Cricetulus griseus: one gene and its partners. The protein of the gene in region 1 purifies or fractionates together with the protein of each later gene. This does not show direct contact. Links are inferred from orthologs where the notes say so. Each region holds a gene or a part of one and is shown on either strand. Other genes may lie near its edges.

Region 1 (4,417 bases):
TGTCTGTATGAAGGTGCCAAATTCCTTGGAACTGGAGTTACAGACAGTTGGGTGCTGGGAATTGAATCTAGGTCCTCTGGAAGAGCAGCCAGTACCATAACTGCTAAGCTATCTCTCCAGCCCAGATGCTTATTTTTCTTTATCTTAAAATTATTTTATGCGTATGTGTGCTTCTCTGTGTGTATGTTTGTGCATCAAGTGTGCCTGTTACCCCCAGGAGACCAGAAGAGGGTCGAGTTACAGAGGGTAGTAAGCTGTCATGAGTGCTGAGAATAAAACCTGGGTCTTCTCCAAGAGCAGCCAGTGCTCTCAACAGCTGGACCATCTCTCCTACCCCCCCTCCACACACACACACACAGCTGCTCTTGAAAATCAGTGACCGTGATGCTAATAGGCATCACAAACTTAAGAAGTTCACAACTGAGTTATTGATCCTCCACCTTTATGTTCCCCTTATGACAGTCCCGTTTTTGCAAATAGCACTTCCTGGATCTATGGTAAGCTAGAAGATTGAATTTTCCCTAGTTTTTCCACAACAGCCCAAATTAGACTCTACTGCAAAACCGTCTCAAATCTGTGAGTCCCCATATCCACACCAGTACTTCAGCCCAATCTCTTGGCTTTCCACTAGAGTAGCAGGGTCCAAACACCCACATTCTCCACCCCTTCAATGGCCTCCACTCTAATACCCTTTGATCTCAGACAGAGCTGGGGGTGGGTGCCTGCACATGGCTGGAGAGGCAGCTTAGTGGTTAGGAGGTAGGTGTATTGCTCTTGCCCAGGATTCCCTTGGCGGCTCACAACTGTCTATATTCCCAGTTCCAGGGGATCCAGCTCCTTCTTCTGGCTTCCAATAGCCCCTGTAAGCACAGAGTGCACACCCATACACAGATTTTTTTAAAAAATATTTTTTTGTTGTTAAAAAAACCGCAACTCTTTGTGTTTCTCTAAGGAGCAATCTTGCCTCCCTTGGCTCACGAGCTTTCTCACACAGACTTTTCCTGCCCCTTTTCCATATGACTACTCTCATCAAGTCCCTCAACCCCTGGTTTTAAACCAAGGCCCCTTCCACGTAGTTCACATAACTTTAAATTCATATGAACTTAAATAGCAGCTTGTGTTTACCATCTCCACCATAGAATGGATTTCAGAGCAGGCGCCATCACAGTTTTGTTCTCTTGGGCCCATAACTAGTAGTGACACCAACAACTACTACACATCATTTACATGCGTCATGCATTGTTATACCAAGAGCTTTCCACACAACCAACCCATGGCCCCAGTGTCCTTCCTGACTTCTAGCCAGGGTCAGTCTGCTCGGCCGCTTAACCCAGCTCCTATGTGCTCATCCGCACCGAGCCCCATGGGCTGTTAGGCTAATCGTGCAGGAAAGGATCCGCGTTGACCGCTTGGAATCCTCCTGCAGTTCTCGCCCACGGATGCTATTCCTGCCCCTTCAGAGGCCACGCTCGCCCTTCTCAGAGCCCCGCTAGCTCCGCCTTGCCTCCAGGCTCGGGTCGCGCGCTCGCAGCGGAGCTCCACCCACGCATCACGTGACAGCTGTCGGGGGCGGGGCTCGCGGCGAAGTCGGTCCTCCTGGCGGCGCGCCGCAGTCCTTGGGCAGCCCTGCGGCTTCCAGGGCGTCGCGGCCGCGGCCCCGCAGCGCCGCTCCCTGAGGTAAGAGCGCGGGTTCCTCGACGCGCCCCGGAGGCCTCCCGGGAGCCCGCTGATGCTCCAGGCCACCGGCCTCTCCGTCCTGCCGTGGGCCAAGCCTGTGGCTGGGGTGCGGGGACCCGGCCTGAGGCAGTGCGGGGGGGAGAGGGGGGGCTTGGCCGCCGGAGCTCCAGGAGAGCCGTGCCTTGGTCCCCCCTCCTTCCCCGGGACCACCCGCGGTCGCCTTCAGCCCCAGGGTTTTGCTGGTGTGCGACAGAATTCATTCTCCTTTGCGGTTTGCAGCCTTCACCTGGGATGCCAGAGCCAGTGTGCAGTCGGACACCCAGTGGGTTTGGTTTTAGCAAATCGCGGAGACTTGGTTTCTAAAATCTTTGAAAGAGGGATAACCGCTGCCCGGCCTCCCTCCTGCATCGAAGAACTGATGGCAAAGCCATTTGATGAGCCAGAACTCTGGAGTTGGTTTTAGTTCCACCACCCACTAGCCAGGCAACCTTGAGCCACGTCGATGGTGCTTCGTTAAAAGTAGAGACAGTACGTCAGCCAGAGGTTGCTATGAGGATTAAGCTGAAGAGATGAGCACGGTGCGGGCACAGAGGGCTCTTTAGTTCTCTCGGCATGAGCATTATTAAAATAGCAAGCTAGAGAGGACTCTCCAAGAGAGACGTCTTTCTTGCAGTAAGCACACCATCCACTGTGTTTGTGATCCTGAAAACAGTACGGGTTTTGGCTGTAGAACCCTCTCCCCTTTCCCAGGCCCCCTTTGCCTTCTGTTTCACATTGGCATGTGAACCTGTTGTTCCTACCGAATGAGTCAGGCAGGATGGGAACGCTAATTTACTTGAGCAGATGGGTATCAGATTCCCTCTGAGGGGAAAGAAAACTGCCAGGCATGTGCTCCCATCAAAAAAAGCACAGTAGAGTGATTGACAGTCTACTGGAAGATGCCTAGGAACCCATGTAATCCAGCTGTTTCCTGCACATAAAGAAACGAGCCAGAAGGAGGCCAGGACTTTGGTTTTGCTCACACTTCAACACTGTTGGCTCTGGGTAGTAGAAAGAATGCTTGTGCTTTCCCATGCTCGTTTATTCCTGCTGCGTATTTGTACGTCGACAAGGAGCTGGATGAGATAAAGCTATGAACCAGACAATGGTGTCTGACCCCATGAAGCTGTCTCCATAGCTGACTATGTTAGTTTGAGATTATATAAAAGTCTGTTTTGTGTGTGTGTGTGTGTGTGTGTGTCTGCTGGGTCTCAGTATGCTTTATGATAACAATAAGTTCCAGCTCCCAGGGAGCTTGCCTCACAGCAGCTGGCCCCAGGGTACCCACATGCAAGAGAGGCTTGAATTGTTTCATGAACCTTGTCACGTCTCCAGGCCTGGTGGAAGCTTGATGAGATTTAGAAACTGGAGAAAATGGTACGTTGTTGAAGCTTTTAGGGAAGGATTTCCACAGGCCTAGAATGCCTGCATTTCTTTGTTCCTCTGGTTTCTGGCCTCTTATTGTTTTTAGCTATCTAAAGAGAGCAGCCTTCAGCATAGTTCCTTCATTTGGTTTCCATGGTTATCAGGGGAATTACATTTTCATGATAGCACCAGTAGCTATTGAGCTGTGTGGCCAACCACCAGTCGCTCACCACCAAGTCCTGCTTTCTGGTTTTGTTTTTCAGTTGTAGTGCAGACATCATCTCCGTTTTCTTTTTTTCCTTCCTTTCATCCTTCCCTTCAATGGTGACAGTGTGAAGAGGGATGGCAATAAGAATAGATAAAATAGAGACAGACCTTGGCCTGGGAGATGGTAGAATCCCTTTTTGGCCCAACCCATTGATGATGATGATGCAATGCTGTGTGTGGCACAGAACTGAGGGCATTGGCAGGAGTCAGGGGCAGGGCAGTGGCCCTCTGGAAAGGTGTAAATGGTGAACCAACTTGAGCTGTCATAGGCAGAGTAACAGTGCCCTGAGCAACAAAGAACACCTCACCCGCTTTTCAAAGGAGATAAGAAAGAAACATGTTCCTTTAATGGGCCCCAGTCACAGAGGAACACTAGATAGCATTTTGTTGCTTGAGTTTGCCTTCATGGATGAGCCTTTTCCTCTTGAGTCACTTACCATGTGCTTTGTGTGAACAAGCTGCTGCTTTCCCTGTTAGCGGGATTTGTTTCCCTACTCACCTGACAATGGGATTGTCAACATAAAGGGGCTAGAGAAACACTTGTTTGGGATCCATCTATTTCAGTTTAGATGTTTAACCTGTTTGTCTTATTTCTCAAGTTGGACACTAATGCAGTCACACATTATTTTTCCAAGTACCCTCCCAAGTCTTCCAAAACCCTCATTAGTAAGGATTCTAACCTCTAGAGAGGCTTCTGTAGCCCAAAGAGGACCTCTCAGAGGAGTGAGAGTGGTAAGTGGTATACCCAGATTGTTATCTGACAGCTATGAGTTGTCACTATGGAGGAGTTGCCCTGCACAGTTCAAGGATGTGTGGTAACTGCTGCTCAGTGCCCTTTAGGGCACTATCTATGTCAGTAAGATCCCCTGTTTGGATCTGAGTTTGCAGCTTTTTTTAGTTCATGCTCACGTGCTTAGCTTTGTGTTCCCCAAAGCTCCACTTGTTGGCCTTTGCCTTGAGTCTGCTGCTTGGCTGGCTTCTTCTAGCTTTCGGGGTCACCACAGATCACTGAGATTCTCCTCTTTTCAAGCCTTTTATCTGAATGAAAGGGCTGTATCTTCCTTCCTTC
Region 2 (3,629 bases), on another chromosome or scaffold:
ACATATCATTTATGTGGATAATAAGACTATCAATAAAGCAGAGTACCCTGAAGGGTTTGAGATTCACAGCATGCAATCAGTGGAAGAGTTGGGATCCAAGCCAGAAAACTGTAAGTGAATCAGTTAAAGTTAATTTCCCCATTTATTCGTGTTAGCTAATTTAATAGATTAGTAAAAGAAGTGACATTAGTAAAAATGCCAAAGCTGTTTAATGTTAAAAGTGATCAAGACTGTATATGACTGAAATTTCTTTTTCCTTTTTCCTGAAGAAGGCAATCTTGCCTGAATTTTTTGAAGACAACAAGCAGACTTTAGGTTAGAGTTGAGGTAGTCTTTTTTCCTTTAAAACTGTAGTCACAATATGAATTTGTATCATAGAAAAGAAGCCTGTGGGTAAATATTGTATTTTTTCACTGTTCTGGACAGTAAGCATGCCTATTATTCACACTAGAAGAGTGTACATCCTTTGAAAAGACAGTCCAGAGCAAATCAGCACCTCTACTGGCTCAATGCACAGAAATGGAAGAGATCCATGGAGAATTGTCTGTTGTCACCAGGTTGATATTGCAAGATTGGTGTGTGCTTGACTGGGAAGTTGTGATCAGCAGGGCCTTCTACTGCCAGGTCTTAGGCTTCACCAGAGCATGACACAAAAGCTTAGAAGATACATTATCAGTTCTCCCAATTTTGATTGAGAGTTGACATGAATCACTAACATCCATTTGTCTCCATGATAGATAGGATTTATAATTTTTACATGAGTATAGTCATTATCATAATAATAGTATATGTAGAATTATAATATATACTGTAGTTTGGGTTTTATAAGGACACATTTGCATGCTTATTCAAAAATAGAGGAGAAAAGTCGTGTTGTGTGCTTGGTGTGAGGACAATATAATGTGCCAGCCCATAACACTTTGCTGCTGCTTCAGTTCATCCTCAGATGACTTTTACCAATGGCCATGAACTTCCTGAAGGAGCTTTTGCTATAGCCTCTTTAAGTATATAACACTGTTTCTGATCATTTCATTGGTATGCTTTGCTCCCCACCCTTCAAGATGGGGTTTCTTTGTGCAGCCCGGGCTGTCCTAGAAATCACTCTGTAAACCAGGCTGGCCTCAAACTCTGCCTGCCTCTGCCTCCGGAGTGCTGGGATTAAAGGTGTGTACCAACATGCTGGGCTCTGAACCATTATTTAAAGCTAAGGAATCTATACATGGTGCTATTCTTTCAAAGCCTTAGAAACCCTTCCCAGTTCTGTACATAACACTGTGAAGAGGCTTGGTCATTTGGGGCTTAGACTCACCATCCTGATGGAATTTGAAATCTTTATTTCAGTCAACTGAAATTTGGTAAACATACTGTTTATTAATCCAGACCAATTTAGAAATGTTCCATTATGTTGAATGAAAATTCCTTCTTGTCAAGTAATTCACCCTTTGAACTGAAGATATTGTGCTTTTTCATTTATTTAGCAAGCATTCCTCCAAATCGACCAACTCCTTCAGACATGGCCATTGTCATGTACACCAGTGGTTCTACTGGCCGACCCAAGGGAGTGATGATGCATCATAGCAATTTGATAGCTGGAATGACAGGCCAGTGTGAAAGAATACCTGGACTTGGGTAAGAGATATCACTCAACTTAGGAATGCAGAGGTCATAATTAAGTTATGAATTTAAAGTGCCTTTTCAAAGTGGTTAATCTGTTTCTCTTTTTTTGTTTTAGACCAAAGGACACGTATATTGGTTACTTACCCTTGGCTCATGTGCTGGAATTGACAGCAGAGATATCTTGCTTTACCTATGGCTGTAGGATTGGATATTCTTCTCCACTTACTTTATCTGACCAGGTGACAAAATTTCACTTTGCTCATGATTTATTCAGTACAAAGGTCCCTGTGGCATCAAACATAGCTTTCCATGAATAATGTAGTACTAGTGTTGATTTAGGTCCATGTTTTAAAATAATTTTGAAAGAATTACTTTCATCTTTCTGAATTAGATTCTACTCTGGAAAATTTATACTGCAAAGTATATTCATGGAATGGTTGGCATACTGTTCAGGACCATTAACTGGTTCTTGGGAAGAGGTATAGGTTTTAAGCCTAGTTTTCTTCTGAACTTATTCTGGACCTGTGCTGCTAGCCCCATCTTTAAATAGAAATTCATTAAAATTAGATTAAAATTTCTTGGTTTTTTTGTTCTATCTAGCCACATTTCAGGTTCCTGATACCTATGTGACTGATTGCTATCATGTTAGACAGCACAGATACAAATATTTGATCTTTGCAGAAAATTCTGTTGGATAGCACTGTAGCATTTCCAAGGCCAGCCCTCAGCTTTACACTGAACCAGGGTTCTCCTTTCTCTCTTCTTGTTCATAGCAGAAAGCCCAACAATGATAGCACTAACTCATAGTTTAAACACATTTGAAATTACAGACAGAAAATAGCTTTATGAAGACAACAATTGAGTTCTACCTATGTGGTAGAACCTATGTTGTACTTCTTATTCTTACAGATTTCACTGTTTTTTGAGAGCTAGTTTTCTTTCCTATATTAGCCTGGTTAATGCATCATTTATCCGAATTTGTAAATGACTAGATCACATTATAGGAGTTTCTTACTTTTCTCTACTTTTTTCAGTGAGTGACTATATTAACTTTCTACCTGTCATTAATCTGACATTTGAAATTATGTTACTTCAAACAAATTGTGCACATTGAGGTGTGTATCTTCATGTCACCACATGCCACAAGCATGAGCCTTACTATGTTACCAACCAGAATATTATCAAATTATTACTTCTGTGTGACGTTAATTGATGTCCATAGTGGTTGTTTTCAGATACATCGTTGTCTTTTGAGTAATCAAAAAAAGTTAAAAATTCCTCCAATGTGCCAGGTGTGGTGGCACATGCCTTTTATCCAGTACTCTGGAAGCAGAGGCAGACAGATGTCTGTAAGTTCGAGGTCAGCCTGGTTTACAGAGTTCTAGGACAGCCAAGGCTACACAGAGAAACCCTGTTTCCAAAAACCAAAAAAGAAAAAAAAAGCCTTTACCTTCAATTTTGTTTTAGTGATAAGTCTGCTTAATGGGGCTTTTTAAAAATTGACATTTTCTTGAAAATTAAGTGTTAATATTTGATGGTGCATTAGTTCACCAGAATGTCTGTTGTTATCCTGGGTCAGTTTCTCTTCTGGAGAAGGCTGCAATGTGCTAGAAATGAAACAAATAGAATAAAATAGAGGAATCACATAGTCTGTGGACTTGCAATAGATGCTGCAATAAAAGATTAAATACTGTGCGTAAATTCTGTCTTTGTTATTAATAATTGAATTAGGCCCCCTACATTTTTGCTAACATCTGTTTCCCTGATTATATTTGTTTTTTCACTAATATAGTCCAGCAAAATCAAGAAGGGAAGCAAAGGTGATTGTACTGTGCTGAAACCCACTCTTATGGCTGCTGTTCCGGTGAGTACAGAATAGTCACACAAATAGAAAAGGGTCATTTATAATAGTTCTTGCTTATATTTCTAATTTTTAAAAAGTGATCCTCTTAGGTATATGTGTACACTTAAGGGATAATCTTACTTTTAGTGTTGGCATAGATGATCCTTAA
Region 3 (4,089 bases), about 340 Mb from region 1:
CTTTAAAGAAACAGAGGTTAAAATAACTTTACCTACTTTCTGGAAAAAAATCATATTAAATGTCAACTTGAATGACAAAAAAAGCAAATCAAAATAGCAAGACCTATTAGACTGAGGATATCACACTATCACACCATAGTTCTGTTCAGGAAATCCACCAAATAAATGCTTACCTATTCTCTAGGTGTTTCAACACTAGTTGGGAAAACTGTCATTAAAAAGAAAAACAATCACATTGTCATGCTGCTAAAAATATCGCCTCCCTAGCTAGGGTAGTGCAAAGCGAATACATTGCAGGTCAGTAGACTTAAAGCCAAATTCTGTCTCAACTTGCTGTGATCTGTGGCCAGTCTATGCCTCTCCGGTCCTCAATTTCCTCATATTTAAAAACTAAAGATAAAAGTGATTGGGCTGGCAAATTCTTTTAAGTCTTCCTATACTGACATTGGGTATACAATCCTTAGCTCTCCCAGCCCGAAGCTGAAACACAACATAAACCCTGCAAAACACATAAAACTGCACTCCAGGCTAATAAATTAGTACTATTTGAGGAAGTCATTTTGTTCTATTATCTTTCAAGGCTTAATCCGTGGTTTTGTTAGTTGTTTGCAGTCTTACCATGGTTTGCAGACTTCTGAGTTCCGTGTAAACAGAAGTTAACTGTCGGCGGGCTGTCATGTCTCCAGGGAGAATGAGGACCTTCCCGCCGGGTTTCAAGTAACGGGATTCAGAAACGAATCCTACAGAAGGATTCCAAATTTGCGCACCCTGCGCGGCACACTGGAGCCCAAGTTAGAAAGACGGAGCGCAGATTGTGCTGGGATTTGTAGTCCCTGGCTTCTAAGTGGCGAGCTGGGATTCCGTACTCCCTGGGAGCCTGGGAAATGTAGTTTCTGCCACTTTGCACAGAGCAGCCTGCCATAGTCTCAGACCGCAAGTGTGCCCGGCGACGGGAGCAGGCTCCTCAAACCTCTGAAGATTTCCAGCCACTGCTCTCCGCTGGGACAAACTCCAGGCAACAACACGAATGAAAATTCTGTCCTCCGGGACTCCTCCTGGAGGGCCTTTCCCACTGACGCTCTCTGTCCCCGAGCGAAGCCGCTGAGCGTTGCCATTGGCTGCTCGGAATGCCAATCGTCAAGGCTGGCTTGCCATTGGTTTCAGGGCGGGAGCTCCTCGACTAGAGGGAAGGAGAAGGGATCAGGAGCGGGAGCTGAGGGGAGGGAGAGGCCGGTTCGGGTCTGGCCGCTACCGCTGCTCGCCTGAGGTGTCCGGCCCGGCAGCAGCTCCGTCCTCAGTTCCTGGGTACCGTCAGCGAGGCCCCGCCGAGCCAGCGTGGGAGGGCCGCAGGCGGCAGGCGCCGCATCATGTCAGCCAAGGACGAGCGGGCCAGGGATATCCTGAGAGGCTTCAAACTGTATCCGCCCGGGAGCAGGGGCGGGGCCGGGAGGACTTGGGAGGAGGCCGGGGCTTGCAGGAGCCGGGCAGTGGCGGGGCGCCAGGTGGGCACCGGGAAGAAGGGCTGTGAGCGGGGGCTGGAAAGGAACGGCGTGCCGGGCCCCCGGGAGGGACCGCGAACGGGAGGCGGGCACAGGGACGCCCTGAGGGAGGAAGGGGACGTTGACGGAGCCTCAGGGGACGGAACCGGAGGAGCCCCGGGACTGGCTGCCAGAGTTGTAGGCATCAAAAGCCGGTGTCCTGTGGGGCTGGTCCGGACCAGAAGGCTGGGGAGGCGGGGGTCGTGGTCCGCAGGTTGAGGCCGAGGGGGTGCGTCGGGCTGGCCTCCTAACCTGCTTTGGAGCATCTTTGGCGGGAAGCCCATGAGGGAGCAGGGGAAAGTGACTCCAAGCAAGTGACCTTGTGTGAGATAACTGGACATGTTCTTGGGTACCTCATCTCACTCCACCACCAACACCCGTCTTGTTTCCACAACTTCTCTTCCTCACTTGTGGCTTCTTGTAGGGCTGGAGTAGTGGGAAGGTGGGGAAAGAGAAATATAAGACCAACCCCACCTTAACACTTTCTTGGCCTTTGAGGCATTGGATGGTCCCTTTTCTCCTCAGCCTCTCAAGTTATCTTTCCAGCATGATCGTGTGTGTGAGAGATGTCTTGAGGTACTTTGGTTTTGAACTGACTCCTAGCAAAACTATCTTTGTTCCTTGGCATTGCTTCGGTTAATGCTTTATCACAGGGGAGCTGTTCACAGTTAACTTCTGTTGAGGACACCATGTCATATAAGAAATCATTGCCTCGGTGGACTTGGTGCCCAATGCCTGTTTTCCCAGTACTTGGGAGATAGAAGCAGGAGGATCAGAAATTCAGGTCATCCTCGGCTTCATAGTTCGAGGCCAGCCTGAGTTCCTGAAGACCCTCCTTCAAAAAGGAAGAAAAGTGAGGAGGCAGAGAAAATAAACAATTACCTCAGGCCTGTTGTAGTTGTAGTGCGACATTTGCAACCTCTGTATATAGTAAGAAAGGTTTGCAGTGTTTGTTTCGTTTTGGAGACAGGGTCACAGTGTGTAACTTGGCTGACCCAGAACTCTGTGTGTAGACCGGGCTAGCCTCAAGTAGCGATCCACCTGCCTCTGTCTCCGAAGTGCTAGGATTCAGAGTGTGGGCCAGCACCTCCGACTAGAAGCTCTGTATTTTGGTGGAATATTTGCCACCATAAAATGCAAATAGAGTGTATTGTAGTTTTGCCTTCTGCTGACCTTGATCTCTGCTTACATTCCTTCCATCAGTATGGAATACTCATAAGTTCCTCCCTCCGTGCAGTGTACCCATCTCTTACTGAGCCCCTTCTTCCATGAAGGGTTAGGAAGCACTGTTCTCTGAGCAACCTGTTGCATCTTCACAGGACCTGTTTCACCTCTTCCAGGATTTAATTGCTTTGTCATAGTTAGAAACCAAGGATGGTCGGGCATGGTGGCGAATGCTTTTAATCCCAGCACTTGGGAAGCAGAGGCAGGCAGATTTCTGTGAGTTCAAGGCCAACCTGGTCTACAAAGAGAGTTACAGGAAGACAGATGGGCTACACAGAAAAACCATATCTCAGAAAAAAAGGGGGGGAACCAAGGGTGATAGTAAAATTTAGAAAGCTTGGCAAGGCATGATAGATCATACTTATAATTCCCACACTTGGTGACTGGAGCAGGAAATTGTCATGAATTCAAGACCAGTCTAAGCTACAGAATGAGAGACCCTAAGACCAAAAAAAGAAAAAGGACCATAACAAACAAACAAAAAAAAAACCCCACATGTCTAAGAGTGGTGGGGGAGTGGACTGGAAGTATAAACAAGGTCTTGGGTTTCTGTAGCACCAGGGAGAGAAAAGCAACACAGGAAGTTCTATGTGCAAAAATGAAAACACTTCAAGTGCAAAACTAATCTTCTGAGGTTTTGATGGTTTGGTCTTAAGGGCAAGCAAGCCGAGTGTATGAGAAGAAAAGAAACCGTTCCCTGTGGCTGGGAGGGGACTGGAAAATGAGTTGCCCTGCTATGCTGTTTAAAAACAGAAGGCCTTACATATTGCCATTCATGATAAATGCTCAATGATTTTAGATCATGAAGTTTAGTAACAGACCCTTTTATAGTTCCATGGATGTTTCTGTTTGTCTTTATAATAGGGCCCATAAGCAGATGTGGATAGCTGAAGTGTAGAAAAGCTATATAGCATGCTGCCACTACCACCACACCCCACTCAGACTTCTGCTTTCATTTTTTTAAAAGATAATTTTATGTTAGAAACAACTTGACCACTGGCCTCCCTTTGTTGGATTTTTTTTTTCTGAACTGTTTTCAGATTGTTTCTGGAAAAGTTTTTGTGCTTACCACTTATCTTACTTTTCTGTTGCTGTGATGAGACACTGAACAATGGAACTTAGAGAAAAAGTATTGGGACTTACAGTTTCAGAGGGTTAGAGGCTACAGGTAAGTAGGCGTGGTAGAGCTGACATCTGATCCCCAAATATTAGGCAGAGAAAGATAACTGGGAACGTTGAAAGTTTTTTTGACACCTCAAAGCCCACTCCCAGTAACATGCCTCTAACAAGGCCACACCTCCTAATCCTCCCCAAACATTCAAATATA

Evidence for each region.
Region 2: the proteins of Fbxo10 (region 1) and Acsl4 purify together in Homo sapiens (affinity purification with western blotting; 3 studies listed by BioGRID, with this or other methods). This does not show direct contact. The link is inferred for Cricetulus griseus from reciprocal best matches to the Homo sapiens genes FBXO10 and ACSL4.
Region 3: the proteins of Fbxo10 (region 1) and Pde6d purify together in Homo sapiens (affinity purification with mass spectrometry; 3 studies listed by BioGRID and IntAct, with this or other methods). This does not show direct contact. The link is inferred for Cricetulus griseus from reciprocal best matches to the Homo sapiens genes FBXO10 and PDE6D.

What each region holds. Positions count from the first base shown.
Region 1 is NC_048595.1:98,366,513-98,370,929, forward strand, and holds the start of Fbxo10 (F-box only protein 10), read left to right. Parts: upstream 1-1,579; 5' UTR 1,580-1,677; intron 1,678-4,417. UniProt on the Homo sapiens protein: Substrate-recognition component of the SCF (SKP1-CUL1-F-box protein)-type E3 ubiquitin ligase complex. Mediates the ubiquitination and degradation of BCL2, an antiapoptotic protein, thereby playing a role in apoptosis by controlling the stability of BCL2.
Region 2 is NC_048604.1:38,225,057-38,228,685, forward strand, and holds part of Acsl4 (long-chain-fatty-acid--CoA ligase 4), read left to right. Parts: coding exon 1-110; intron 111-1,478; coding exon 1,479-1,629; intron 1,630-1,732; coding exon 1,733-1,856; intron 1,857-3,409; coding exon 3,410-3,481; intron 3,482-3,629. UniProt on the Homo sapiens protein: Catalyzes the conversion of long-chain fatty acids to their active form acyl-CoA for both synthesis of cellular lipids, and degradation via beta-oxidation. Preferentially activates arachidonate and eicosapentaenoate as substrates.
Region 3 is NC_048595.1:438,252,323-438,256,411, reverse strand, and holds the start of Pde6d (retinal rod rhodopsin-sensitive cGMP 3',5'-cyclic phosphodiesterase subunit delta), read left to right. Parts: upstream 1-1,199; 5' UTR 1,200-1,367; coding exon 1,368-1,417; intron 1,418-4,089. UniProt on the Homo sapiens protein: Promotes the release of prenylated target proteins from cellular membranes. Modulates the activity of prenylated or palmitoylated Ras family members by regulating their subcellular location.